2 linked regions of the Kluyveromyces lactis genome follow. The protein of the gene in region 1 purifies or fractionates together with the protein of each later gene. This does not show direct contact. Links are inferred from orthologs where the notes say so. Each region holds a gene or a part of one and is shown on either strand. Other genes may lie near its edges. The genes, in order: POR1 and HSP60.

What was found.
Region 2: the proteins of POR1 (region 1) and HSP60 purify together in Saccharomyces cerevisiae (affinity purification with mass spectrometry, with the first as the bait; 3 studies listed by BioGRID). This does not show direct contact. The link is inferred for Kluyveromyces lactis from reciprocal best matches to the Saccharomyces cerevisiae genes POR1 and HSP60.

What each region holds. Positions count from the first base shown.
Region 1 is NC_006042.1:333,212-336,331, forward strand, and holds POR1 (porin POR1), read right to left. Parts: upstream 1,479-3,120; coding exon 630-1,478; downstream 1-629. Other genes in the region: FG-nucleoporin NUP159, read right to left, coding at 1-16. UniProt on the Saccharomyces cerevisiae protein: Non-selective voltage-gated ion channel that mediates the transport of anions and cations through the mitochondrion outer membrane.
Region 2 is NC_006042.1:871,204-875,212, forward strand, and holds HSP60 (chaperone ATPase HSP60), read left to right. Parts: upstream 1-1,677; coding exon 1,678-3,402; downstream 3,403-4,009. Other genes in the region: KLLA0_F09427g (MFS transporter), read right to left, coding at 1-104. UniProt on the Saccharomyces cerevisiae protein: May participate in assembly and/or disassembly of proteins imported into the mitochondrion. HSP60 are ATPases and have affinity for unfolded proteins.

The sequences.
Region 1 (3,120 bases):
CCACAGAGGACGTCATTGATTCTGTATGTGTTCTTTTATCTGTGCCGACAGTAGTAGTTTCAATCCGTTAGTGTATTAATATAAACCTCAGCTGCTTATTAATTTGTAAACCTTGAATTTCAATGGGCATCAGTTGCAATGTTCAGTGCTTGTACAGGTTTGAAGCTTTTTGATGATAGCTTTGAAGTAAACAAAGTTCCAAAAAGAAGGAAATTATCAATCACGTGATCCGGAAATCAGTATGAGGTTAGTGTTCATGTTTTATTGTCTTTACTATGACATGAATGTTTTGAGATATAAAATTTTTTAGATGGTCATTAAAGAATACGTATTTAGTTAGGTAAGTATCTTCGAAAGAAGTAGGCGTTAACATTGTAATTGAGGCCATATCTGTAATGAAAACAAAGCGGATATTGTTGTTCTGAAAAAAAAGCGAACAAAATGAAAGGCAATATATATATATATCGGTATCAAATGGAACGCCAAGAAGAATGATACTTTAGTTGAATGTGAATCATTTCAAAATTGATAACCTAGGCTGGTGATCCATTGGACAAAGCAAAATAACATAAACTTAGAAAAAAGTAACACTTCTTTTTAACACTTGTGTAAAATTACTAAGTATGCATTTAAGCAGCGAACGATAGAGACCAACCCAACTTGTGGACTGGTTCAGCCAACTTCAAAGCGTCGAAAGAAGCACCAATACCTAGAGTGACACCTGGTCTCAATATTTGTTGGTAGGACAAGGCGACGATACCGGAGTCAGCAACCTTAGCCTTAACTTGAGAAACGGCGTCCAAAGCGTACTTGGAAGCGAATTCAATGTTGACATTAGAGCCAGCTTGAGGGTTCAAAGCAGCCTTAGCACCGACTTGCAAGATTGGGGAAACCTTTTGGAAGAAGGAAGCGGTGATCAATTGAGCGTTGTTGACGGACAAACCAACGGAATAAGCACCAGAAGCGTTGTAACCCAAAGCCAAAGCGTAACGGGAGACGGCACCAGCAGAGATGTCATAACCAACTTCAGCACCACCAACGAAACCTTCGTGAGCCAAGGTCAAGTCACCGACGAAGGATGGACCCTTCAACAAATCGAAGAAACCTCTAGCAGCAAACAAAGGTTGAACAAAGTTAACGTTCAACTTAGCAGCCTTAGAGACACCTGGAACACCAGAAGTGATCAATTCAGTCTTCAAGCCTGGAGTCAATTCAGCCAATTCGATCTTGGTGTCCAAAGTGTTGGCGTTGTTCCAACCTTGGGTGAAAGTCAAACCAGTAGACTTGTCAGAGGCCTTAACTTCAACGTTAGCAGCAATTGAGCCATCTTTTGGAGAAGTTTTACCCTTAACAGTGAAAGCAACACCGTTTGGAGCAGTGGTCTTAACGTCAACAGAAGCTGGGGTAGCGTGGAAGAATTCCTTGTTCAACAACCCATTGATGTCCTTGGAAATATCAGAAAAGAATGGAGGAGCCATTGTAAATCTTTGAAGTTATTTTTTGTTAGAGGGCGGAAGCAAGCTTTCGGAAGTGCGATTGATCTAAATGTGAATCAATTAGAGTTCAGTCAACCGCTAAAACCAAGAAGGAACTACTACATAACACAAAAGCAAGAGACAGACACCATTTTAATTCGGTGTGCATCCAAGATTTTTCGCAAATTTCCCAAAAAAAAATATCTCGATCTCTTTCATTTATATATAATATCGATTTTATAAATACAAATAATGACAATGTGAACTTTTCTCGATTTTTCACAGTTTTCAACAAAAATACCGTGTAGCCAGAAAATGTAAACATTGGAAAGCACAAGGCTTCCCAAGTGAAAATTATAGGGGACGAGAGATTTAATACAGTGGGAACGCACGTCTATAGTGGGGTAGCGGGGACTGCTATACGCAACTGGAGAGTAGCTCAGTTTTTTGCCTGAGGTGTCGTTTTAAGAGCGGATGTCGGACTAACTCACTTTGAGATTCTTTACGCACTTGCTCTCGAGCATATATCTTGTAGATTGTACATACTGCATACAGATATCAATCATTTGAGGCTAAATAAAAATGGCTATATACAGGTTATTGATGGAAGTGTATAGAACACGTTAATTGGACTATCATGTTGCAATTATTGATAGTTTGGGTCTACACCCCATGTGCTTTGTAGTCTTCCCTATTTCAGTTTGTCTTAATCTATCACTCCGGCACTCTTGAGAGCTCTACACAAAAACCGAAAGAAAATTAATTAAAAAAGAGACCACGTAATGATTGACAATTGGAGGCGACTCATTTGCGCCGGATATATCTGGAATCCTTTCTTGCATTTTGATTTCCGACTTTTATTAGTGCTGACTCGAAGAGACACGCAGTGGGACCGGGGTGATGACGTTCGCATTTAGAGTCACGTGAATATATCGCTATGTACGCAACAATTTTTTTTTTCTTCCAACAGAATTGTGTATGTGTGCATCTCTCCTCTTTCTAGTTTGGTTTTCACATGGCGGAGGCAAGATTCTCCACTTGGTGTGTAGATTTTCTTGTTAAACAGTCACGTGAATATCCGAGAAATCGGTCCTTTGTCTCATATACCGGAAAAACGAAAAGTTATCATGAAAACTAAACTTCGAGAACAATAATTAGGCTTTATAAAACGAAATTCCACTTTGAGTTAACAATATGAAAATGCAGTTTCCTAGTAGTAGAAAATAGTTAGATATACCTTGAAACTGAAAATGATGTGGTAGTATTGTCTTTTGAAATATAATGGCGAATAGCATCACACCAGTGACAGTTCACATTCGCTTTTTGACAGTTGACGACTGCATCTGTGTTTGTTTTCCGAAGTCATGATGAAAACCTAAACATCTCCCTGTTGCCCTCTAATCCTCTGAACGGTATTCTTGCATGATTGAAAAATACGTAGTGTATTTTTCAGTTCAGAACTTGTCGTTTGAGTCTCAGGAATATGTACCATGTAGAGAAATATAAAGCAAAGATACATTACATTGTGGACCAGCTCAAGTTTTCTTGACAATACTGAGGTTACGGAAGATAGTGTTGTGGATGAGGAATTACTTTTGACCTGTTGGAATCAATCAAAGTTTTCGAAAGAAATGCTGAATTAATT
Region 2 (4,009 bases), about 540 kb from region 1:
AGCTCTTGTACTGAAGCATCAGCTGTCAGTTTTTTGGAGCCTGACAGAGTAGAACAGCCGGTGCTATTCGGTTTGAGAGGTGTACTTTCCAGCATTTCATTCATATCAAAGTACTATTTCGCTGTGACAATACTATATCAAGTCCAAAGGTCATTCGGGGAAAAATGTCTGACGCGAACAACCCATATACTCAAGTTGACCATTTATTTATATTCAAAGAAAAAACTGCTTTTCATATCCACTCAACAAGTAACATTTCCTAGTTGTGATAAAGCAGCAACAATGATCTTGGTAATATACTAAATTTTGAAACGCAACTGGGACTTTTGAGTGCATTCTTCGATATTAAAGATTAGTACCAAATAATAATTGCTCACGAGTGAATAAGAATATTTCAAGAGATAAAAAGTGCACAAAACACAAGCCTGAGATGAAGCCCAAAAAACTAATCAACTAACCAATTAAAACTTGTAGTGAGCAATGTCACTGTACTCTACCAGCTCCTGATTTTACCTAACACATTCATTTAAATCATGTGTCAATTGATTAGTTCAAATGTCAAGTGAAGCAAAGAATTCTGTCGCGTGTCAAAAGTTGGCGAGTCAGTTAATTTCATGTCAACAAAATGAAACACTTACGCACGTGATTGGCAAATAGATCGCAGCAGCTTCAGTACATTAGTCCAGCGAGCCAAAAAAACCTCAATCGAGTAATTCTTTGCCTGGCATCTACACATCACGTGACTTAAATCGATACTATCGAAAACATAACTCCTTCCTACAAACCGCCGCACTGTCGAGGAGAGCGTGATCAAATAGCGAAACTATTTCATGACCGTTTCTGTCGAACTTTCTGGAAAAATGAAAAAAAAAATGAAAATAATGTGAGCGGCCATAAGGCATCATTCAAAACGATGTACAGCTCCTGATTCTCCAGGCGAAAAGCCAAATCCAAAAAAACTGGACATCCAAATGTCTATAACAAAAATGGACGAATGACGGTTATATTAGGTAAAAATAATTCAGTTAGGTAATGGTGGTGAATAGCGAACTCGGAGAAACTGCCAGAAAAAAATAATCGACAATAGCGGAACCTGCCTCACGATTACAGAAGAGGATAGAACTCTTGTGTGTATATAGGAATTTTAATTAACTCTTTGACTACTTTTTTTTGGAATTAATTAGCTGGCAGAAAATGAAAGAATTCTATGGGCTCGCAGTGGAGTTCAGCAATGCGGACATGGCTGGCTGCTATCTAGTAAGAGTTAACCCAACTATTGTTCGAATCCTTATTCCTATTTCTCTTAAATGTGTAATCTGACCGGTTGATCCGCAACTTTATATGCCATTTTCTGTGTAGCTTTCTTTCCAAATTTCTCGATTTTATCATCTTCATTTTTTAGATATTTTTTTCACGGAATATAAAGGAAGGAGTAGAGGCGAAAAAAAAAAAGGATTTATAAAGGATCAAATAATTATAAGATTGGAAGGATTACTAGAAGCTAAGTGGTTTTTTGATTGATTGATTGTTGTCTTCTTTGTGACATTAGCTGAAGGAACTAGTGATAGCAAGATTTTCGAAGCAAAAGTAACATTTTCCAGTAGGTGGTGTTTTTTTTTTTTTGGATTCTGATTTCTTTACCTGTTATAGATTTTTTAATATACGAGAATAGTCACTATGTTGAGAAGTACCGTAAAGCCAGGCAATTTGACCTTGAAGAGAAGCACTCAATTGTTGAGTCGTCGTCTATATTCTTCGCACAAAGAATTAAAGTTTGGTGTTGAAGGTAGAGCTGCCTTGTTAAAGGGTGTTGAAACTCTAGCGGAAGCTGTTTCTGCCACTTTGGGTCCAAAAGGTAGAAACGTTTTGATTGAGCAACCATTTGGCGCTCCAAAGATCACCAAGGATGGTGTTACTGTTGCTAGAGCCATTACTTTGGAAGATAAGTTCGAAAACATGGGTGCTAAGCTTTTACAAGAAGTTGCTTCCAAGACAAACGAAGCTGCCGGTGACGGTACCACTTCTGCCACTGTCTTAGGTAAGGCCATTTTCACTGAATCCGTTAAGAATGTTGCAGCTGGTTGTAACCCAATGGATTTGAGAAGAGGTACTCAAGCTGCTGTCGAAAAAGTAATTCAATACTTGTCAGAGAACAAGAAAGAAATCACCACTTCTGCTGAAATCGCTCAAGTGGCAACTATTTCTGCCAACGGGGATGCTCACGTTGGTAAGTTGTTGGCTTCAGCCATGGAAAAAGTTGGTAAGGAAGGTGTCATCACTATCAGAGAGGGTAGAACCTTGGAAGATGAATTGGAAGTCACTGAAGGTATGAGATTCGACCGTGGTTTCATTTCTCCATACTTTATTACCGACGCTAAATCTGGTAAGGTGGAATTTGAAAAACCTTTGATCTTATTGAGTGAAAAGAAGATCTCCTCAATCCAGGATATCTTGCCTTCTTTGGAATTGTCAAACCAAACCAGAAGACCATTGTTGATCATCGCCGAAGATATTGATGGCGAAGCTTTGGCTGCTTGTATTTTGAACAAGTTGAGAGGTCAAGTTCAAGTTTGTGCCGTTAAAGCTCCAGGTTTCGGTGATAACAGGAAGAACACCTTGGGCGATATTGCCATCTTGTCTGGTGGTACTGTCTTCACTGAAGAATTGGACCTAAAGCCAGAAAACGCTACCATCCAACATTTGGGTTCTTGTGATTCTGTTTCTATTACCAAGGAAGATACCGTTATCTTGAATGGTAACGGTCCAAAAGAAAACATCGAAACCAGAATTGAACAAATCAAGAACTCTATTGACTTGACCACTACCAACTCTTACGAAAAGGAAAAGTTGCAAGAACGTTTAGCTAAGTTGTCCGGCGGTGTTGCCGTCATTAGAGTCGGTGGTTCTTCCGAAGTCGAAGTCGGCGAAAAGAAGGACCGTTACGATGACGCTTTGAACGCTACAAGAGCTGCTGTCGAAGAAGGTATCTTGCCAGGTGGTGGTACTGCTTTGCTAAAGGCTTCTAGAGTCTTGGACGAAGTCGCAACAGAAAACTTTGACCAAAAGTTGGGTGTTGACATCATCAGAAAGGCCATTTCCAGACCAGCTAGAAAGATCATCGAGAACGCTGGTGAAGAAGGCTCCGTTATCGTCGGTAAGATTATCGATGAATACGGCCAAGACTTTACCAAGGGTTACAATGCAGCCAAGGGTGAATACACCGACATGTTGGCTGCTGGTATTATCGATCCATTCAAGGTTGTCAGAAGCGGTCTAGTAGACGCTGCTGGTGTTGCTTCTCTATTGGCTACCACTGAAGTTGCTATCGTTGATGCTCCAAAGCCAGCTGGTGCTGCTCCAGCTATGCCAGGTGGTATGCCAGGTATGCCAGGCATGATGTAAAGTGGAACAATTACTTGAAAACTTGAAAAGTGAAACAGATCAAAGAAAACAACCGTCAAAAAATGTTAGAATTACAAGAATTTTTACTGAACATTAGCTTTTTCACCTAAAATACATTCCACTTTTATTTAAATGAATATATAACGTACGTATAATGACGATCCCGTGTAAATAAAAAGATACTTCTACATGTTTAAATAGTTTCCTCATCATCAACCCGCTTTTCAACACTTCCTCTGTCCTTGACAGGATGGCTAGCATTCTCCAGAAGGTACAGAGAAAAAGGAAAAAGCAGAGTGAAAAGAAAAAAATTTGGGGCGAGCTGGGAATTGAACCCAGGGCCTCTCGCATGCTTTGCAGTAGTTAAACCTCGTTTATCGAAGCTTCGCTAGGCTATTAACCCAAAGCGAGAATCATACCACTAGACCACACGCCCTAATTTATGAAAACTGAAAAGCGTCATCTTGTTACATTGAAAATGCAGTACCATAACTTATGAGTATGCATTACCTGATTTTGCCAAAAGATGACGTTTAAAAATTAAGGTTGGATTCACTGCCAACTGTTAAGATCGATGTTGAATTATCATCAATGGCAAGCAAACAAA